Mus musculus: one gene and its partners. The protein of the gene in region 2 purifies or fractionates together with the protein of the main gene of each other region. This does not show direct contact. Links are inferred from orthologs where the notes say so. Each region holds a gene or a part of one and is shown on either strand. Other genes may lie near its edges. The genes, in order: H2ax, Lmna, Hnrnpm and Kpna6.

What was found.
Region 1: the proteins of Lmna (region 2) and H2ax purify together in Homo sapiens (affinity purification with mass spectrometry; 3 studies listed by BioGRID and IntAct, with this or other methods). This does not show direct contact. The link is inferred for Mus musculus from reciprocal best matches to the Homo sapiens genes LMNA and H2AX.
Region 3: the proteins of Lmna (region 2) and Hnrnpm fractionate together in Homo sapiens (co-fractionation; 3 studies listed by BioGRID, with this or other methods). This does not show direct contact. The link is inferred for Mus musculus from reciprocal best matches to the Homo sapiens genes LMNA and HNRNPM.
Region 4: the proteins of Lmna (region 2) and Kpna6 purify together in Homo sapiens (affinity purification with mass spectrometry; 4 studies listed by BioGRID and IntAct, with this or other methods). This does not show direct contact. The link is inferred for Mus musculus from reciprocal best matches to the Homo sapiens genes LMNA and KPNA6.

What each region holds. Positions count from the first base shown.
Region 1 is NC_000075.6:44,332,230-44,337,816, reverse strand, and holds H2ax (histone H2AX), read right to left. Parts: upstream 3,103-5,587; 5' UTR 3,056-3,102; coding exon 2,624-3,055; 3' UTR 1,740-2,623; downstream 1-1,739. Other genes in the region: Hmbs (porphobilinogen deaminase), read left to right, coding at 127-165, 342-461, 646-699, 805-891, 972-1,145; Dpagt1 (UDP-N-acetylglucosamine--dolichyl-phosphate N-acetylglucosaminephosphotransferase), read right to left, coding at 4,695-4,760, 4,846-5,001, 5,167-5,254. UniProt on the Homo sapiens protein: Variant histone H2A which replaces conventional H2A in a subset of nucleosomes. Nucleosomes wrap and compact DNA into chromatin, limiting DNA accessibility to the cellular machineries which require DNA as a template.
Region 2 is NC_000069.6:88,479,155-88,484,473, reverse strand, and holds the end of Lmna (prelamin-A/C isoform A precursor), read left to right. Parts: intron 1-319; coding exon 320-427; intron 428-527; coding exon 528-647; intron 648-1,060; coding exon 1,061-1,156; coding exon of another isoform or gene 1,157-1,177; exon of another isoform or gene 1,178-1,269; intron 1,270-1,861; coding exon 1,862-2,128; intron 2,129-2,373; coding exon 2,374-2,400; 3' UTR 2,401-3,326; downstream 3,327-5,319.
Region 3 is NC_000083.6:33,659,735-33,665,700, reverse strand, and holds part of Hnrnpm (heterogeneous nuclear ribonucleoprotein M), read left to right. Parts: intron 1-55; coding exon 56-209; intron 210-1,066; coding exon 1,067-1,116; intron 1,117-2,415; coding exon 2,416-2,476; intron 2,477-5,386; coding exon 5,387-5,488; intron 5,489-5,966. UniProt on the Homo sapiens protein: Pre-mRNA binding protein in vivo, binds avidly to poly(G) and poly(U) RNA homopolymers in vitro. Involved in splicing.
Region 4 is NC_000070.6:129,644,576-129,649,685, forward strand, and holds part of Kpna6 (importin subunit alpha-7), read right to left. Parts: intron 4,802-5,110; coding exon 4,623-4,801; intron 3,605-4,622; coding exon 3,417-3,604; 3' UTR 1-3,416. UniProt on the Homo sapiens protein: Functions in nuclear protein import as an adapter protein for nuclear receptor KPNB1. Binds specifically and directly to substrates containing either a simple or bipartite NLS motif.

The DNA of each region.
Region 1 (5,587 bases), on a different chromosome or scaffold from region 2:
GGCTAGGGATATTGGGACTCATTGCTGGACTTCCTACCTGTGCCTTCCCCAGGCTTCCTAGATTGGCAAACCCTAGCTCACTGCCTTTGAACATCCCCTATCCCACCATCTTGTCTCTCTCCACAGATTTTGCACCCAGAAGAATGCATGTATGCTGTGGGTCAGGTAGGTTTGCCTGGAGAGAACCTGGTTCATAACCTTTGGCACCTGCTATCCATCAAATAAGATGTTTAGAGAGGGACAGGTTTGGTTGTTATGCATAAGACCCAGGGAAGCAGGTAGAGGTGTGTTTCTCATGCTTAGCTCTATTACTAGAGAAGATCAGGCCTGTTGTTCTTTAGGGAGCCCTAGCCGTGGAAGTCCGAGCCAAGGACCAGGATATCTTGGACCTAGTGAGTGTGTTGCACGATCCTGAAACTCTGCTTCGCTGCATTGCTGAAAGGGCTTTTCTGAGGCACCTGGTAAGATGGGCTCCTCCCATGGTGTTGTGGGGAAACCAGGAAGGGCAGTAGGGAGAGAGATTTGTCAAGTACTCAGTATGTAATGTTTTGTATGTATGGAGAGGACCTTGATCTGGCCCCTTGAGGTCTGTGGTCAAAAGTGGTGTTAAAGGCCCTTAGAGCTCAAAGGAACATATCATTGCAGGAAGGAGGCTGCAGCGTGCCCGTAGCAGTGCATACAGTGATGAAAGATGGGCAAGTAAGCCAGGGAAATGGATGAGGGGAGGGACTGTCATTTCCATGTGCACCGAAACATCTAAGTAACTTTCTTTAAATATCCTGGTACAAACATTTTATTTCCTAGCTGTACCTGACTGGTGGAGTCTGGAGTCTAGATGGCTCAGATAGCATGCAAGAGACTATGCAGGCCACCATCCAGGTCCCTGTTCAGGTATTGACTGGGAGATGAGGAAGGAATAAATAGAACTGCTTGTAATCTTCCTCTTACCAAAATTGTAACCTGTCATCCAGCAAGAAGATGGTCCAGAAGATGACCCACAACTGGTTGGAATCACTGCCCGTAACATTCCAAGAGGAGCCCAGCTAGCTGCTGAGAACCTGGGCATCAGCCTGGCCAGCTTGCTGCTCAACAAAGGAGCCAAGAACATCCTGGATGTTGCACGGCAGCTTAATGATGTGCGCTAACTGGTCTGTAGGGCACAGGAACCCTGGCTGCCACTCCACTGCCTACTTCTGGCTTCCAAGTGCCCTGTGCTCCATCCCTAGGGATGTGATTATCCCAGGAAATTGAACCACGGGGTTGTTGAGACTTCCACTTTGGAAGATATGCCTCACCTTGGGGCCTCCATATCTGCCTTTCCCTCAGTAGTTGGGGGCTTCATCTCTTTAGAGAAAGTCCATGCCAATCTTTGAATGTAACCAATACCACTAATAAACCAGTTTAGAATGTGGTTCTTCTGATAGAGTTGGGGAAGATATGAATAAACCCAAAGCCCTTTTAAACTTGAATTGAGTCTGAGACCTTTCTGTTGTAAAACACGCTGTGATTTGCCTCATGTTCTCAAAAAAAAAAAAAAAAAAAAAAAAAAAAAAAAATCAGCCTTCAATTCCTACAGCCTGTCTTCAGTCAACGGGATCTTCGTGGATTACATAGCCTTTCCCACTCCCACGGCCTGCAGAAAGGGAAGTCCCATTCTCTCCCAAGATGTGCCAGGCACATGGCTCTACCACGGAGCTATATGTCCAGCCCTGGGACTACAGCATTCAACATTAAACCACTTTTTTAAAAAAACAAAACCAAACGATCCTTTAATAAAATTAGCCCATTAAATCTCCCCACTTAAGGTTCTAAACTTGTAATAGCTGCAAAAGTTCCAGTTCAGAAGCCAGAGGCTCAGTCCAGACAGGGATTCACCGGCTTGTGCTGGTATCTAGGTGTTTGGGTTGTAGTTGAGTCGCTGGGGAAGAGGGGATGGATGGCTAGGCCCGGCTGCCAGTCGCCTGCGGCAGGTATAGAACTCTTGTCCACAGGCCGGTAAGCGTCTCTCTGACCCTTGCCGGGAGGTATTCCTAGAGAAACTGGGTTCACATTACAACCATTTTTGGCCCCGCCACACCACACTGGCCTACGAATGGCGACAGGGTCAACTGGTATGAGGCCAGCAACGGTGACACCGAAGGAAACAATGTGATCCATTTCTCCTCCTCTAAGCCCGGCAATCAAGTCACTTTTCAAAGGTCCAGGCGAGGGCTAAGCACCAAGCTGAAGCAAAGACGCCGGGGCTGTAGCTGCGGAGGGACTAACCTTCAAGCCCACCGCGGCCGGACGTCTGAGCGAGGGGCCGAGACTCCGGGAAGGCGCCGCAGCCTCTCCGCACGGAGCCGTCGTCCACAACCGAGAACGGCGAAGCGATGTCACGAGCTCCGGGATGGGCAGGTGCCGCGGCGCCCGCGTCCTCCGTGGCAGAACCGGAGGCCGTGCGGGGTAAGGGGAAGAGTGGCGCGAGGGCGGGGAGGGGAGAGGAGGGAAAGAGAAAGGATGGGGACGCGGCAAGCCGCCGCAGCCCGAAGTGGCTCAGCTCTTTCTGTGAGGGAGGTGGTGGCCCTTAAAAGGGCCTTTGTGGAGGTGTGGGGAGGGCTGGGCGGCCTCGGCGCGGGCCCCCTCAGTACTCCTGAGAGGCCTGCGAGGCCTTCTTGCCGACCGCCGGCGCCTTGGGCCCCACGGTGGCGCTGCTCTTCTTGGGCAGCAGCACGGCCTGGATGTTGGGCAGGACGCCGCCCTGCGCGATGGTCACGCCGCCCAGCAGCTTGTTGAGCTCCTCGTCGTTGCGGATGGCCAGCTGCAGGTGGCGCGGGATGATGCGCGTCTTCTTGTTGTCGCGGGCCGCGTTGCCCGCCAGCTCCAGGATCTCGGCAGTGAGGTACTCGAGCACCGCTGCCAGGTACACCGGCGCGCCTGCGCCCACGCGCTCGGCGTAGTGGCCTTTCCGCAGCAGCCGGTGTACGCGGCCTACAGGGAACTGAAGGCCGGCGCGTGAAGAGCGCGACTTGGCCTTGGCGCGGGCCTTGCCGCCGGTCTTGCCGCGTCCGGACATAGTGTACGAGGTAGAAGAGCTGCGAACAACGCTGAGAGACCACGAACTACCAACCGCCGCAGTCAACGGTCGCCTGGCCGGCCAAGCCCGGCCTTATAAACTCCCTGGACACGCCCCCGCTTCCTCCTGATTGGTTCCTTTTTTAATACCCACCTCTGGTTGGTTGCAATTAACCCTTCGGTGACGCGCCTTAGCTGAGAGAACGCGCCCAGTGATTGGTCCAATTTGAAAACCTTTTACCCGGGGAAGAAGACAAGGCGGAGTGGCCGCAAGCCGGAGGCTGCTCACCCCTGGAAATGGCCAATCCGTGTAGAGCGCGCGAAATTTAAACGCTACGGCGCGACAACAAAACCTGAAGACTAGAAGGGTGGAGCTTGGAGCTACCTCTACAGTTTCTGGGAAATTTGAGTCGGTCTTTGGTCTTAAAGGAAAAGGGTCTACACTATAAGCAGCGTTCTCCTTCCAGGTTAGAGCACTTCCCACTCCCTCCTCTAATCTGGTAGACGGAGGGTTTATTTGTTCATTATTATTTTTAGGTTTGTTTGTTTGTTTTTCGAGACAGGGTTTCTCTGTGTAGCCCTGGCTGTCCTGGAACTCACTCTGTAGACCAGGCTGGCCTTGAATTCAGAGATCCGCCTGCCTCTGCCTCCCAAGCCTGAGGATTAAAGGCGTGCGCCACCACCATCTGGCTTTTGTTTGTTTGAGACAGGGTTTCTCTGAGTAGCCCTGCCTGTCCTGGAACTCAGAGATCAGCCTGCCTCTGCCTCCCTAGTGCAGATTAAAGGGAGGGAGGGTTTAAAAGAAACGAAATGAAACCTCCTAGGAGTTTAATCCTATGCCAGAAAATGGAGCACTGTGATCTTTTATGCTATCACAAGTTTGTGCTGCGATATTTATTCAACATGTTCTGTCTGGTCTTAGTTTGTGACAGGCCTTTTTTGCAAGAAAGGGTCTGATGGAACAGAGATCGGTATCCTATTGGGAAAGGTACCCGGTCTAACCCTTCCAATCTATCCTAAAATGCCTATATAAAAAATAAATATACCAGACTTGGCATATAGTTCAGTGGTAGAGCAGTTAAGTATAAGGAAGCCCCGGTGTTCACTCCTGAAGCACCACGAAGGTTAAAAAGGACAGAGGGAGGGGATGCTACACTAGAGGAACAAGTAAAAGGCAGTCCTTTATTGTCACCGTTCTGAGCACATGGCCCTGCCTCTACGCTTCCCAATCACAACACTTCATTTGATAGTCAAATGTGAGGTCACCTTGGAGTATGTAGCCCTAACTCTAGCCCTAGCCCAGGTTCTCTCTCAAGGCTCAGGTGAATTCCTTTAGAGTTAGCGCTCTGAAAGCTGAGCTACGAATATTTGCATAATAGAGGCTACAAGCCCACCTGGTGAGGCTGCAGATGGGACAGAAAGGGAGGGCAAGGCAAGATGAAAGCCCTAGGCAAAGTCCAACTAGCGGACTTCAAGTCCAGCAAGGTGTCCATCCAGGATATCAGTAGTCACAGATGGCAGAAGCTGAGAACAAAAGTGTCAGCGAGGCCTGGACCAGAGGGTCATCTCGGACCAGACAGAGGCTGGTCCTGGCTGAGGTCCAATGGAGACTGTGAGGTAAAGGGCAGCTGTCAGGGAGCTCAGACATCATAGAAGAGTCGGACGAGTTGGTAACGAATGGAGAAGGTGGCGGCGCTGCTTAGGACCTGGGAGAAGTGGACTGGAATTAGAAGCAAGGCCAACCAGAGATGTAAACGCCATGGCATTACTAAGCCCCACCCTGAGCTGTACCTGCAGGAGCAGCAGGAGCAGGGTGAGGTTTCTCTCATGTATAGGCCCAAAGACTTTAAGTAGCAAGTTGATGAGGGTCATGTTGTTACACTCAGTGAAGGCACCGTCCTCACTCTCACCTTGGTGAACTGTCACTAACCGGAGGTTCTCTGCTACCTGCAGGGACCAGAGGTGAAGATGACTTCAGTTATGCAGATCTACTTCACGAATAGGGATCTTCTTGATGTTCCCAAACTCCCCTTGGGCCTGAAAAGGCCTAGGTTTCTCTTTTCCCAAGTTAAGGATGGCGGCCTCGGGCCTTACCTCCTGTTACCTTGTTACCTTTAAAATAAAGGTGCCCAGGAAAGAGAGGTTCTTGGTCTTGAACTTGGAATAGCTCATTTCCAGTTTGCCTGTCTTTGCGTTGAGTCTGCAATGGGAAGATAATTTCATTTGACTGAATCAGAGACCTCTGCACCCTGGTTACTAAGAAGAGTACTGAGGCCGGGCGTGATGGCGCACACCTTTGATCCCAGCACTCAGGAGGCAGAGGCAGGCGGATTTCTGAGTTCAAGGCCAGCCTGGTCTACAAAGTGAGTTCCAGGACAGCCAGGGCTATAAGGAGAAACCCTGTCTTGAAAAACCAAAAAAAAAAAAAAAAAAAAAAAAAAAAGAGTACTGAGTACTTATGTACTGGAGTTGGTTTCTGGCTCCGTGATCAGGGCTGTTGTAAGCATTACATACTATGTAAGTAAACGAGCTT
Region 2 (5,319 bases):
TGGGTGACCCTTGAGCCAATAGTCTAGGTTTGAATGCCAGAGGTAGTGGTGGCAAGCCTGTCTTTCTTTTCTTTTTCTTTTTCTTTTTCTTTTTCTTTTTCTCTTTCTTCTCTCTTTTTTTTTTTTCCGATGGGGTCTTGCCCAGGTTGGCTTTGATCTCCCTAGATTAAGCTGTTCCCCTGCCTCAGCCTCCATAGTAGCTGGAACTGCAGGCGCACACTGGCGCCCAGCCTACCTAAGCTCCTGAGTGAGATAATCCAAGAGTCGGTTGAACTCCCTGTCCTCCTTCCTCCTTCCTCCTTCCTCCACCCTACTTCAGGACCAGTCCATGGGCAACTGGCAGATCAGGCGTCAGAATGGTGACGATCCTTTGATGACCTATCGCTTCCCACCGAAGTTCACCCTAAAGGCTGGGCAGGTGGTGACGGTGAGTGGAAGGGCACTTGGGACTCTGGCTGGAGTGGAGAAGTTGGCCTCAGGACAGGAGCATTAAAAATAAGCACATCTCTTAAACCATCTTTTCCCAGATCTGGGCTTCAGGAGCTGGGGCCACCCATAGCCCCCCTACTGACTTGGTGTGGAAGGCGCAGAACACCTGGGGCTGTGGGAGCAGCCTTCGCACCGCTCTCATCAACTCCACTGGAGAAGTGAGTATGTTGCAGCCGGTAGCTTGCTGGACAAGGCTCCCCCTGGTGGCCATAATGGGAACTAGCTACCTCCAACCCAAGGGAACCTGCCTTGGGTTTAGGATCGCTTTCCTGAGCCCAAGTCCCACCCAGTAAGCAAGCCAGAAGTCTCCCCAGTAGAATAATGGGTGGAAGTCAGCCAGTGAGTGTTAATAGCAGACTCCAGCTTACAGAGCACCGAGCTCTCAGTTGTGTCCTTTTTGCGCGTGCGTGCGCGCGTGTGCACATGTGCATGTGTTTATCCTTAGTCCCCAGCATCAGAGGTTGGACAAGGTTGTATAAAGGCCCGGGACAGTTCTAAGTGGTTACTATGGGTAGACAGGCTGCACAGCCCTCACCCCCTGACTCTTGGGCCTGGGCTTATGTCCCCACAGGAAGTGGCCATGCGCAAGCTGGTGCGCTCACTGACCATGGTTGAGGACAATGAGGATGACGACGAGGATGGAGAAGAGCTCCTCCATCACCACCGTGTGAGTGGCAGCCGCCGCTGAGGCCCAGCCCACAAGGGTAGCCCTGCCAGCCTAGGGCAGCTCTCCCACCTCCATGCCAAAGTCTTTTCATTAAAGAATGTTTTGGAATGCCACTTGCTGCCCTGGCCTTTCTTCTCTCTCCTCCCTCTACCTTGAACAGGGAACCCAGGTGTCTGGTAAGGAAGGGAGTGGGGACTTGCTGATGCCATGGATACTCCACGGTGGCAGTGGACAGGGTTCTGGATTTGTGTCCTGGGAAGGGGCTGGGAGGACAGAGGTGGCCCCAGCCCTGCCTCTCTTCCTCACTCCCATTGCATGCACACTTCTCTCCTCTCTCCTTCCACCCTATTGCATGCTTCTCCTCAGATTTCCCTGCAACAATGTTCTCTTTCCTTCCTGTCCCCTCACAAATTAAGTCTCTCCATCTTTGCTCTTCCTCTTGATTGCCCCATAAGTGTCTAAGATTCAGGAGAGAGTTAAAGCCACAGCTCTTTATTTCGAAGGCTTCCTGGCTATTTCCCCCATCATGCCCTTCCTCCCAGCCACAGGTCTCCCAAGTCCCCATCACTTGGTTGTCTGGGTACAGACAGAGGTCACCTTCCTGCCCAATGGCCAGGAAGCTCCAAGAGCCCACAGCCTAGGTGCCGGTCCTAAGAAGTCAGTCCCAAACTCGCTGTCCCTCCTGAGCCTTGTCTCCCTTCCCAGGGTTCCCACTGCAGCGGCTCGGGGGACCCCGCTGAGTACAACCTGCGCTCACGCACCGTGCTGTGCGGGACGTGTGGGCAGCCTGCTGACAAGGCTGCCGGTGGAGCGGGAGCCCAGGTGGGCGGATCCATCTCCTCTGGCTCTTCTGCCTCCAGTGTCACAGTCACTCGAAGCTTCCGCAGTGTGGGGGGCAGTGGGGGTGGCAGCTTCGGGGACAACCTAGTCACCCGCTCCTACCTCCTGGGCAACTCCAGTCCCCGGAGCCAGGTGAGTCATCTCTGCCCTACAGCAGGACACTGCTCACTGAGCAGCAGGGCAGGGCAGCCCAAGGGAGTGGGGTCCCCCTCCTTGCAGTCCCTCTTGCATCCTGCCCCTCCTGTCTGAACCCCAGACTCGAGGTCAGGGCAAGGCCCAGAGTGTGAGGGTTGGGGAGACAACCCCCTTTGGGGTCAGGGAGGGAGAGGAAGGGCCAGCCACTGCTGCTCACACCTCTGCCTTCTCTTCTCTCTTAGAGCTCCCAGAACTGCAGCATCATGTAATCTGGGACCTGCCAGGCAGGGCTGGGGGCAGAGGCCACCTGCTCCCCCCTCACCACATGCCACCTCCTGTCTGCTCCTTAGGAGAGCAGGCCTGAAGCCAAAGAAAAATTTATCCCCTGCCTTTGGTTTTTTTTTTTTTTCTTCTATTTTTTTTTTCTTTTTCTAAGAGAAGTTATTTTCTACAGTGGTTTTATACTGAAGGAAAAACTCAAGCAAAAAAAAAAAAAATCTTTATCTCAATCCTAAGTCCTTCCCCTTTCTTTCCTTGTATCTGCCTTAAAACCAAAGGGCTTCTCTAGGAGCCCAGGGAAAGGACTGCTTTTTATAGAGTCTAGATTTTTGTCCTGCTGCCTTGGCTTTACCCTCATCCCAGGACCCTGTGACAATGGTGCCTGAGAGGCAGGCATGGAGTTCTCTTCACCAGCCTCCTCCAACAGCTGGCCCACTGCCACGCCAGCTGCAGAGAAATGGGGCGCAGAGAGGATGACTGAGAAGGTCAAGCCCCTCCCCGGCACTACACGAGGCCGAGGCTCCTCTGCCTGCCTTACCTTCTTCCTGCCCTTCCCTAGCCTGGGGCGAGTGGATTCCCAGAGGCAAATCTGCCGTGCTTGCTTTTTCTATATTTTATTTAGACAAGAGATGGGAATGACGGGGAAGGAGAAGGGAAGATCAGTTTGAGCCTACCTTTTCCCAGCTTCTGAGCCTGGTGGGCTCTGTCTCAATGATGGAGGGCAATGTCAAGTGGGATACAGGGAAGAGTGGGGGACGAAGGCTCCCAGAGATGGGGAGAACCTGCTGGGGCTGGTGAGAAGTCTAGAGGTGCGGCGATTGGTGGCTACAGCAAACACTAAGGAACCCTTCACCCCATTTCCCATCTGCACCTCTGCTCTCCCCTCCAAATCAATACACTAGTTGTTTCCATCCCAGATGCTGTGGTGTCTCTTTGTTGGGTGTGATGTGTGTTTTCAGGGGCAGACACATGCACACAGAGGTGCCACACATTCACTATATATTCACTACCCAGCTATAAAGGTGTGTATGAGGGAGACTTCTAGAAAGGTCAGCATATGTGGGGTGAGCGAGGGGTGTCCTTCCTATCCCTCATCCATCCAGCACCTTTTAAAAGGGGCCAGCAATCCACATGTGCATCAGACACAGGAGCACAGAGAGACGGAGGGTAGAGTAGGGGCCAGAAGTAGCAGAGCTTCCCTTGCTGCCCCTGTAGTCGCAGGGCTCTGGATGCTGTGATTGCCTCTGTAGGCCGAGATACTCTTAGGAAAGGAAAGAAAAGGTGGGGTGTGGTGAGTTTGAGGCTAATCTGGTATTCACAAGACCCTGTTTCAAAAGTCTTTCTTGGAGCCCAGCAGTGGTGATGCACGCCTTTAATCCCAGCATTTGGGAGGCAGAAGCAGGCAGATTTCTGAGTTCGAGGCCAGCCTGCTCTACAGAGTGAGTTCCAGGACAGTCAGGGCTACATAGAGAAACCCTGTCTCAAGAAACCAAACCAAAACTAAACAAAAGTCTTTTCCTGGGAGAAGAGCTGGGCGTTCAGTCAAAAGTGATTGAGGGCTGGAGCAATGACTCTGAAATGAAGAGAACCTGAGTTGGGTTCCCAGCCCCCCAGTCAAGTAGCTCCCACTGCCTGTAACTCCAGCTCGAGGACATACAACATGTCTCCAGAATGCCAAGTCTATGTACTTCACATATGAGCACCCACCCCACACACATGTACACCCGAATTCACATCCACACACAATCAAACCTTTTTAAATCATTGAACCAGTCATGCTATTGCATGCCTTTAATTCCAGCACTCCAGAGTCAGGTGGATCTCTGAGTTCAAGGCCAGCCTGTTTTACATAACAAGTTCCAGCAACCAGGGCTTTATAGGAGAGACCCTGTCTCAAAAACAAAACAAAAAAATCACAACAACAAAAACAAAACAAGAAACAAAACCCAAAGTGATTGAGTCCAAGAGATGTCTTCATTGGTAGAGACACGTGCTAAACCTAAACCCCACCCCTGAGACACGCATGGTGGAAGGAGAGAGCTAATTCCTGCACGTGATCTTCTGACCTCCATGTTGCCATATGCAGTGTGATTCCATTCTTGGGGAGATTGAACAAATTACTTATTTTTAAAACGAAAGAGAGAGAGAGAACCCAGCTGCCACTCTTCAACTGACTTACCAGAAGGAAAAAGAAAACTGGTTCTCCTCTACCCTGTTATAAAAACCAACCCTACCAACTGAATGTTCCTCCATTCTAGATCCCATGTGTCTCTCTATCCATCCTCCTGACCTCTCACTCTATGGTTTTTTTCCCTGTGTTCACTCCCTGTCAACTGGTTGCTTGCTCCACCTCTTGACCTGTGGTTGACTTTATTAATCTTGTTTACAATAAACAGAAAGCTTTTGAATTAAAGGTGTGTGCTAGAGCTGAGCTACACCAAGACTAGAAACAGGTTTTTCCAGTGTCCAGTCTTGGGGTTCACAATATGATATAACAGTGACTACTAATCTCAGACAGAAAAATGACAATAGATCAAAGTAAGGGCCACCAAAGCCCAACTTGGTGAACCAGTGAAGTTTATTGGGATAACTGACAGAGTAGAGGTGAGGGGTTAATGAATCAAAGATGGCTGCCTCACCAAAGCTCGCCCAGCATGGGTGACAGATAGCTCAGGAGAGCTGGGAACCTGGAGGTCAGCCCACAGCTGCAGGCAGCACAGCAGGTCAGAGAATGTCCTTTCCAGGTGACTCAGCTTCCAGGCAGATCAACTAGTCTCTGCCCTCGAGCAGCTTAGTCTGAGTGTTTCTGAGTAGTCCTTACTGCTTAGATATCTCGAGGACAGAGACAGCCACCTGGTCAGTTTCAGGAACTTCCTGAAGCTATTAAGTTAATTACTTTCTGAGCTTAA
Region 3 (5,966 bases), on a different chromosome or scaffold from region 2:
GTCTTTTTCCCCAGAGAAGTTTACCTTGAAGTTTTCACCTTCTTCTTTCACCTAGCTGGATTATAAAGTTGGCTGGAAGAAACTGAAGGAAGTATTTAGTATGGCTGGTGTGGTGGTCCGAGCAGACATTCTGGAAGATAAAGATGGGAAAAGTCGTGGAATAGGCATTGTGACTTTTGAACAGTCCATTGAAGCTGTGCAAGCAATATGTATCCTTTTGTGGGAATTCAGCTCATGGCAAACAGTGCCCCCAGCACTGTTAGGCAATAGCATACCTAGGTATATTACGACAACAAGGTAGAAGTAACTATTTTCTCTGTGACTAGAGTAAATAGATTACTATGGAATCTGAAATTTTTCTGGAGTAGAACACAGATGGATAAAAGGTGTGGTTGTATCATAGACACATGCTATGAATGGTCTTTTCTTTTCAGAGGAGTTTAGGAAATAAACCATTTATGAGAACTGAGGGTTTTTCTTTTTTTCTTTTTCTTTTTGGTTTTTTTTTTCCAGACAGGGTTTCTGTGTGTAGCACTGGCTGTCCTAGAACTCACTCTGTAGACCAGGCTGGCCTCGAACTCAGAAATTCGCCTGTCTCTGCCTCCCAAGTGCTGGGATCAAAGGCGTGCGCCACCACGCCCGGTAGAACTGAGGCTTTTATTTCTTTATAATATATCCTTATGGACTCTGTCTGTTGTAGAGAGACGTTGTTTGAAGAGATCCCTTTCCTTGCTGTAGGCTTGCCCTCGGGTTACATCTTTTTAATTACAGTGAGTATGTCACACATAACTACAGAAATTAAACTCAGGAGACTATTACTGGTTGCTTTACCCAGAAAACATGATATTTCAGAAATACTAAAGACTCTTGGTCTGTTGAACACATAGATAACTGCTTTAACTAATTACCAGAAGCATTTTGCAGTGTAAAGTCATTACTAAAACTTCATACCTAGAGAGTTGAAATTTCTTATGAGTTCACTGGTAGCTATGGAGGTGTTACCTTTTTAACATTTTATATGGTATGCTTTAACAGTTGTTAGAAATAGCCTTAATTGTAATACCAGCTATGTTTAATGGCCAGTTGCTGTTTGATAGACCGATGCACGTCAAGATGGTAAGTTACTAGGATCACTTTCTTTGTAATGTGTTCAAGTAAGCTAGGAAAAATGTAGAATTACTAAAACTGTATCTAGCCCTTAAACTAAACCTGTTATTTAGTAGGCTGCAGAGTGATGAGTCTCTCTGCTCATGGAAGTTGTTTTCTGTACATTCCTGCCTGGTTGATTATTACTGTTAACTCCTATGTTCAGGAAGCCCATTGAGTATCCTGCGTGAGCTACAAAGAATCAGCTACAAAGGATCTTTAGCATAGAACTCCAGTTTTCAAAGTATAACATACAGTGCTTGGTTAGTATAATGAACAGGTATTTGATTCAGACAGCTTTTAAAGGTCTGTTGGAGTTCAGTCTTAATAAACAGTAACCCTACTATAACATTGCCAAAGATAATAATTTATAGAAACAGTATTAGAAGATATTGAGGCCAGTCTGGGTTAGGATTCAGATTCAGGAATAAAATAAAAGGAGCTATAAATTTTGTTATTTGAAGGAGTTTAAGTCTTTGAATAGCTAATGGATTCATAAGACTCAAAAACAAAAAAAAAAAAAAAAAATTAAAAGAGGGGCTGGAAAGTTGGCTCAGCTATTCTTCCATAAGACCCCGTTTTAGTTCTAGCACCCACATGACAGCTCACCACTGTCTGTAACAATAGTTCCAACACCTTCAGACAGATACACATGTAGGGTAAAAAAGCAATGCACATAAGATAAACAAACAAAAAAAAGAAATGATGTTTTGAGCCTCACTAGTACTTATTGCTCAGGTTCTGCTCTACATACCCAATAATACAAATGTATATTTATCCTTCCTGTTGGCATAGAAGATAAAATACCTCTCAAATACCTCTTTGTGTTTGATATAATTATTCTGTGCCATGGCTATGTCATAGTTTATTTATATTTAACTAGTTAACTTGTTTGTTTAGTTTAAATTTTTGCTTTTTCCCTGGTGCTAGGGACTGGACACAGGGCCTTGTATGTGATAGGCAGGTGTTTTATCTCTGGGCTACATCTGCAAACCTGTCTTTGTTATTATTGTTTGTTTGTCTTTTGTTTCATTTTTTTTGTGACAGTTTTGTGTAATGTAAACTATCCTAGAACTTGCTGTGTATCCCAAAGCTGGCCTTGAATTCCTGATCCTTTTGTGTAAGTCTCTCAAATATTGGGATTACAGGTGTGCAGCACACACACAGTACCTGACCTCTTTGGTTCTTTGTTGTGGTAATTGTTTCTCATCTTTTGCTATTGGTGCTCCAGTGGAGATTAAGATCTTTTTTCTTTTTCTTTTTTTCCAGGATGAGAGGGCTTTACCAAAGGGAGACTTTTTTCCTCCTGAACGCCCACAGCAACTTCCCCGTGAGTATATGAATTATACTAAATAGAAACTGTTCCAGTTAAATTTATACTTGCAGTTGTGGAAAGTTACCCTGGGGATTCTTGTGATCTGTTTGTCCTGTCACCACCCCACCCTACACAGGTTGCACTATGTAGCCTTGGATAGCCTGGAACTCACAGAGATCTGCTTGCCTCTGCCTCCTTAGTGCTGGGATTAATGGTGTGCACTGTATCGTGCATGTCTTGATTAGTCGTTTTCTATAGGTTTTTCAGGATAAGAAATGAGTAAAGAAATTTACGACTTAAGAGTAAATTTGATAGTGGCACTGGCTCAGAGGATAAAGGCATCTTATGCAAAACCTGATGACTAGAGTTTAACCCCTGGCACCCACGTGCTCGAGGGAGAGAATGAGTCCTTCAAGTTGTCCTCTGACCTCTATTCGTGTGTGGCTTTGTTGGAGATGATAAGTCACTGGGGCAGGCTTCAAGATTTCATAGGCCCACAATATCCACAGTTAACTCTCTGCTTTGTCTTTGTAAAAATGTTAGCTTTTTGGCAGTGGTGGCGCACGCCTTTAATCCCAGCACTCAGGAGGCAGGCGGATTTCTGAGTTCAAGGCCAGCCTGGTCTACAGAGTGAGTTCCAGGACAGCCAGGGCTACACAGAGAAATCCTGTTTTTTTTTTTGGGGGGGGGGGGCTTTTTTTTTTCTTCTTTTTTTTATTTTTTGGTTTTTCCGAGACAGGGTTTCTCTGTGTAGCCCTGGCTGTCCTGGAACTCACTCTGTAGACCAGGCTGGCCTCGAACTCAGAAATCCGCCTGCCTCTGCCTCCTGAGTGCTGGGATTAAAGGCGTGCGCCACCACACCCGGCTTTTTTTTTTTTTTTTTTCTTCTTTTCTTTTCTGAAGTTAGCTTTTAATTACTTTTCTAGTACCATGCCTGCCTTTCTGTCGCCATGCTCCCTGCCATGATGGTCAGGGAGTCTAACTCCTGGAACCATGAGCTCCATACTAATCTTTTTTTAATGAGTTGCCTTGGTCCTGGTATCTTGTCTTATCACAGCATTAGGAAAGTAACACATCGTGTTTCTCTGTTGCAGACACTTTTAAAGAAGGGCTCTTGGATTATACAGGCTGTCCAGATATAGAGAGCAAAATTATACAGTTTGAAAGTGTCTTGGAGTAGATGGGTGGTTAAACAAATTGAATAAATGCCAAGTTGAGCTGGATTTTGCTGTATAGTCAGTCTATCAGTATCCCTTTTAGGTGTATTCTAAGGACTAAACCTAATGTCCACATGAAGAAATGACATAAATGCTTAGAACAGCGTGTCTCATTAGTCAAAAAGTCAAGCCAGACTTGTTGGTAGTCTAAAGCAGGCAAATATGAGTTCAATGATGGTCTGAGTACACAGGTAGATGTTATTTTAAAAGGGAAGGGAGAATGTTGGAACTGATTCATTAATTTATGTATAGATAACTAAAATTTGGCAAAATCGGTTGATTAGTCAAAAGGGGGTGGGGGTGGAGCCACAATTTGGAAGAGATAAACCTTGTTTCCAACTGTGGGCAATGCCCAGAACAGGTGGGTCTAAAAGGCAGAAGATAGTTCCATGGTGCTGAGGAGAGAGCTGACTGCTATTGGAGATGAGGTTTTTAAAGTGATGAGAAAGTTAATGAAATTGTGATAATTGCTAGCTTGAAAGGGCCTGTAGCTTTAAGAATAGGTCAAAAAAATGCAGATATAGTGATTGAACACTTAGCAAAGGTTAGTCAGATTACCCAGTAGCAAAAAAGGGGTCAGGGAGACAGGAGATGGCTTGTCTGTTGAAAGGACAATATTTCCTTACTACCTGTCTGCAAGCAGGTGGTCACTTAACATGCTTGTTGTGGTTCTTGTTGATGCTTGTGCTAGAGGTAAAGGAGCACTGAGCCCCAGGGAACCTATTATCCCTGGTTCTTGGTCTCTTGGTATGACTCAAAGGGTTGACCTCAGAGCTTTGAGTACATTGGAATAATAACCCTTGGTGACTTATTGGAGTTGTTGCCATGCAATTAAAAACCTACTTGATAGATTAAGTACCTAGAGCCTGTTGAGGTTTTTTGTTGTTCGTTATCTTGGTTTAAGTGTCAGGCCTCAGTGGCTCTTTCCGATACCAGTCTGCATTTCTTGTTTCTTTAGTTGTGTTTGTAGAGCATAGCAGTGAGGATGTGCTGGATATCAATTTAGTAATTCTTGAGGTGCTAGCACACATCTGTGATGCCAGCATTCAGAGGGTGGAGGCAAGATGATCTTAAGTTGGAAGCCAGCCTTGGGCTGCATAATAAGACCTTGTTTTTAAAAGAAGGGGGCAAAGAGGGCAGGGGAGAGAGAAAGGTTAGATTTCTTTAGGGATAAAAAACAAACAAAAAACTGGGATGGGGCTCAGGCAGGGACATGTGGATCTTTGTAAGTTTGAGGCCAGAGAGGGCTACATAGTGGTACTATATATATTATTTTATTTGTTTCTTTAGTGCATTCATTTTGTGTGTGTATCTCTGTGTATGCATGTTAATGTGCAGATGCTTGAAGGTCATAGGGCAAATGAATGCACCAGCTTTCTCTACCATAGGTTCTGGAGGTAGAATTCGGGATTGGGAGTAAGGTCCTTAACCTTAAGTCATCTTGCCAGCCTGCGAACTGACTTTTTAGCTGCCCTTGTTGTGTAGGTACATATTTCATACTCCAGTCTCTGACTGTATGTCCAAAGCTGCACCTTCAGAAAGAGGGACACTCACAGGGATGCAGGTGTGTAGGTGTTGAAGTCAAGTCAGGCCCTGGGCTTGCTTGGTCTAGGGGTAAAGCACGGCAGCTAGAATATACCAGTTGTCTGCGGGTCACCATGTTTTCAGAAAGGGAAGCCATATTCTTGACTTTCTCTGCTTCTTTCAGATGGACTTGGTGGTATTGGCATGGGATTAGGACCTGGAGGTCAGCCTATTGATGCCAACCATCTGAGCAAAGGCATTGGAATGGGAAACCTAGGACCTGCAGGTGAGAATTGTAGTGGGGATAAATGGGGAAAATTGAATTTATTAAAAGCCACTATTAGTGCACTTGAAATCTGGAGATTTTCAAATATGATTAATGCACTTTCGACAAAATCCCCTTTTCATCTCAGCCTCGTGTCCACAAAAGCAGTGTTGTTTTTATTGAGTTGAGTTTGTGTTTTAAGCCACTGTGCCTCTTCATCTTAGTCATGATGACTTTTGAGCGGACAAGGAAGAGCGTTGGTCTTGTTCACGGTCACACTGAGCACAGTGCAGCCGCTGACTGCAGAACCACAGCTCTGCCGCTGGTATTTCAAGCCTGCCCAGAAGACCATTTTGCACCTGATGTTGACAGGACTTTTTCCATAAGTATAATAAGCATTGATAAAATAAAAGGAATTTGAAAAGCTTTTATGAATGACAAAACTCATGGGACACAAGGAAAAATGGATAGTTGTCTTTGTTCAGGAAGACAAGGAAAC
Region 4 (5,110 bases), on a different chromosome or scaffold from region 2:
GCTAGTGTGAGCATCAGAAGTCAGGCTGGCCTACAAGCAGGTAGGTAAGCCTAAGCCCTTGAAGACACGGTCACAAGAGCACTCCCCTCTGGTAATAGGGCGCCCCGGTTTCTGGCTGCTTTTCTCACAGCCAGCTTTGGTCCTGCACATAGTTCAGGCTTCAGACAAGATGCTCTCTCAGAAGGAAAACAAGTTTTCACTCAGATTTGTTGGCGTTGACCTTAGCTTCTTCCCTTGCTGTGCATCCTGGGGTGGGACTAGGGGATAGACTGGGAGATTGAGTCAGCTATGAAGGCCTTTGGCCAAAGAGCAGCTAGTATCTACCACATGGATCCTTACAGGGGCAAATTCTCAGTTTGTTGGCTTAACAAAAGAATACAAAAGATAAAACAAAAAAAAAATATACTGGACAAAACTGGTCTAGAATGTGCCAGGAAGCCTGTCTCTTACCACCTCTCAGGGAAGTGCGGCTTGAAGCTGCCACTGCTCAGAATCTATAGTTCAGTGCACCTAGCCTTGCACACTTCCCCAGCCTGCTAGGGAAGCTTGTCACTAACTATCCTGTCTCCGTCCTGGATCTGCAGGGACCTGGAGAAGTTTGGGTTTTTTTCCTTTGAGAAGTTAGAATCTAAGCCTGAAAAATACCCAAGAGGATGGATACCAAAATGAGTGAGCCTGGAAGAGAAGAGCTGGGGTCTGAATAAAGAGTGCAGAGGCCTCCAGGACGTGTAGAACTGTGAGCTGCTAGCTCTGCAGGCAGACAGAAACACACTTCCTCTGTGTGGGAAGTGTGTCTTTGTACCGGCTTGGTTTCAAAGAAAGAAACTCCACGCAGAAGCACCGTCTTTTCCTCTCCCTCAGCTAAAATCCCACTGCAGCTCTAGCCCACAGTTAGCTTCAGAACATAGGCTACTGGGGATGACTCCCAGGGGCAGCAGAAAGGGGAAGTGGTAGATACAAGGTCCCGGGTAAAGGGGACACCAAAAGGTCTTCCAAACCAGGCTACCAATACCTGCTCCTCGGAAGCACTTGTGTGCACAGACCCAGGTAACAACGGTACCAAGCAAGCTGGAACTCATACAGTAATACCAAAAGGCTACAACCAACATCCAGGGCCATGATCACTGGGGAGGGCTGGAAACTGAAGTCAGTCGGCCAGGAGCCGACTGTGAGGGACACCTAGAGTAGAGCAGCTAGATAGATAACCAACCTCTTCCATGTGGCACAGGATCTGCTCTGAAGCCAGAGATAATGGAAAACGGGCAGAGGAAAGCAGGACATTTGTGTCTCATGCTGAGGATCTGGCTCCAGGGCCAGGGTCCTAACTGTCACTTGAGAGGTTCAGGGGTCTACTCTTCAGATAAGGACGATGATGGCTTCATAGAGGACTTTTCTTTGAACTAGGAGCAGTTTCAGTCAGGTTAAAAACAAAAGGGCCAGCACCTTGCCTTCCCGGAAGGCACTCGCCAGCGTGGTCCAATGTTGGTTGAACTTTTCAGTATTAACTGCCTGCCCTGAAGAGGAATCTGGAGCAGGAACTCAAAACTAAAGGAGAGACGGCAGACGGAAAGGCAGAGGCCAGCAGCAAGAACCTCAACTTCAGATCTGCAAATGTGGGGCACAGAGAGATCTGCTGGAACAGGAGGAACAGTGCTGTTCTAGAGAGCGGCTAAGGGTGTGGGGGATCACCACAGCAGGGCACTGTGCTGCCACCTCCACAGGTGGTCTGCCCAGCTGACACTGTACCCAGCTCCCAGAGCTTGGTTTTAGTGTACTGTGTAACCCCTGAAAACAGGTCAGCCTCTGAGGTACTGAACTGTCTTTATTCAAGAAGGAGGGAGGGAGAGAGGGAGGGGGAGAGAGAGGGAGGGAAGAGAGGAGGAGGGGGGAGAGAGGTGGGAGGGGGAAAGAGGGAGAAAGGGAAATGCAAGCTAGGTACAAGGATCTTTAGAAGGGAGATGCCAACAGGGTTCATTGTGGGTAACAGTGAGTTAGAGAAGGCAGGATGCTTTTTGCTTGGGAGCAAGGAACAGAGAGAGCAGCAGACTCCATCAGGCCTTGCTCCCTTCAGGCTGGGAACAATCAGACCCAGCTGATTTACTTCATAAAGGTTCCAGAAGTGAGAGTTGGTCCCAAGTGGTGGCCCAGAATACAAGCAGAGAAAATAAGGACTGAGTTCAGCCCTGTGAGCAGAAACTTGTTCGTCTTTCTGGTCTTCCTCACAGTATCCCACTCACATCCAGTTTGTCCTCCTAAAACCAATTAAGACTGACCTACTTAAAATACAGACTATTAAAAAAACAACAGAACTTTTTGCCATTCTCTCCTTTGGAAGTGAAATATACATGATCCAGCTATGGCAGAAGGAAGAAGAAAGGCCAAAGGCAGGGATTCATGACTATCCCGATACACGACACTAACTCCAACCTCCTCTGCAACTTAGGGGTCATCAGAGCAAGGACTTTCTCCTCAGGAGAAGGAAGGACCACAGCCCCCCATCTCAAGCTCAGGAGAAAACACAGCCACCTCAGAGGTTCATTCAACTCTGAGGTGAATTTTCAAGTAAACAAATGAAGTTGGGTCGCACCATTTAGGAGGTGGGTAGGAAACAGGGTCAGTAGCTACACAGGAGAAGCCCTGTCTAAAGGCCTGTGCCCCTCCCTTCCACTCCACTGGTATACTTGCTCCAGGAGAGTGAGGGGGATCCTCCCAAACTAAAGAGGTCTTAGGCATAGGGTTAGAGGGAGGGAGGGATCTTTGTCTCATGGGGGCCTCCCCATTAGCCTCTATTTCCAGACGATGCTGGTGGCTGGGTTACTAAATCCAGCTTTTTGGGAAGAACAACCTTAATACAAGAAAAATGTGCAAAAGAAAAAATTAAATAATCCAAGCATACAAGATTAATATGGGTCAGAGCAAGAACACTTTGTTTGGGACTTCTCCCCTCCCCTCCCACCTCCCACCTCTGGAATATTCCATCTGCTCAAGTACCCAAGAGTTACACACGTCAGGGCAGAGGACTGGGATGGATGAAGAAAGATAATTGGGAAGGAAGTCACCACTAAAGAAAATAAAAGAAAAAAATTTTAAAGGTGCAAATTGATTACCTCAGTCCTCCTTTGTCTACCCCTGGGCTCCTGGGTTAAAGACATGTGCAGCCAAAATAGTGTAAGGAAGAGAAACCCACACGTCCCCTTCTTGTCTCAAAACCCAATGTGAGCCTCAGATGGTTCTGTCTGTCCAGAGGGCGCTTGCTCCCTCCAGGGAAGGGGATGAACAGGTCGAGAGCACAGTCTCGGGGCAGCAGGTGTGCGGGGCTGCTGGTGGGGTGGCTGCTCTCCTGCCCACCAGAAGGCTGCTCCTCTCTCTGCTGGCTGCTGGTGCTTCCCGTGCCCTCCCCTCCCCGGAGGCAGACATTATAGCTGGAAGCCCTCCATGGGGGCCTCAGGCTGCTGGAAGATGAACTGCTGTTGCGTCTCATCCACCTGAGGAGCCAGGCTGCTGTCGTCATCCTCTACACCAAAGTAGTGCTCAATGAGGTCAAAGGCCTTCTGGTAGATTTCCTGGTTCTCGTGGCTCTGGAGAAACTCAATTTTATCCAAGCCTACGGTGTAAGAAGAAAACAGGTCTGTACCTCTCCTTTCCTGAAGTACAAGTTCCCAACCAAAAGCAGTGGGAACATATCCACCCCTGGCTTGTGTAAAGTGCTTGCCCTGAAAACCTGAGTTCACTCCCCAGGATGCAAGGCCAGGAATGGTGGCCGGGGCCTGTAACCCTAGCAGGGGTTGTGGGAAGAGGATACAGTCGGGACAAACCAGCTGGGGTTTGTTTTCTGGTTGGCTTGTTAACCTAGATTACTCTGAGGAGTGATAGCTCAGACTGACCTCTGGTCTGCACACACATATACAATGTGATTGACTAGAGGGTTGAGACCAAATTCTGTTGCAAGCTAACTCTGAGCTAATCATGGTGAGCTAGTTAACATCTAATTAACATCTGAGCTAATCATCTGAGATGGGTTGGTTAAGGCAATCAGGGTTTTCCAGGAGAGACTGTTGGAATGCAGCTTCTAGCTCCTGGTAGTAGAACCAAATTTTACCCTGTTCCTCCTTGCATACATTTGAGGTAGGTGGTGTCTATGAGAACAGCACTGACCTATGGCTCCTCAGAGGGAGGAGGAGATGGTGGGACAGGGAAACTTGATAGTGATAATAACCATTACTTCTATCTACCCAGCTGGTCAGTACGAGTCAGCTACTCCCAAGGGAAAGTCTGAAACCCTGTGCTTGGACTAGCTTGGCTGCAACAGGAACTCATCACTGGTTTTAGAAGCAGAGACTCAAGGGCTGGTGAGATGACTCAGCAGGTTAAGGTGATTTCTGCCAAGTCTGACAACCTGGGTTCAATCCTAGGAACCAACATGGTGAAGGGAGAGAACTGACTTCTTCAGGTTGTCCTCTGACCTTCATCCCACATGTGCCATATCATGTACACCCACACTCATACATGCATATGCACACAAATGAATGGATAAATGTATTCCCAAGTTTCACAGAACAATTGAATGTGCTCCAACATCTTCCCCATTAACAGACATAGGTGAGGTCAGGGAGAGGACCTACCATAGGCTTCCTCGATGAGGCCACAGTAGGGATTGACCCCTGAGCCACTACGCTTGCTTTCTTGCTCTCCAAGCCGAAGAATGTTCTCTAGTCCATTGAGGGCCACTTGCACAATTTTTGAATCCATTACAGTCAGCAAGTCACACAGGGGCTTAATGCAGCCCAGTGATACCAGGTACCTGGGGACCAGAGAGGACATGCGCGCTACATGAATGCAGAACACATAAAGTGCACCAGGTGCTTTGACCTGTGCGTCTCCCTCACACACCAATTTTCCCAACAAGGCACTCTTCCTGTTGCCCACCTAAGCCACCTTCTTAACTCTGCACTGACCTATTCCCTAATGAACACGGAGTCCTATTGTCCCCTTGGCTACAACGTTATTACCCTACACACGTTAAGAAGTTCCTCAGGTTCCTATTTGTCCTGAGTACAACTTGTACAGTATGGAGGTACAGACTGTCTGTCATCTGGACCCTTCCTCTGTA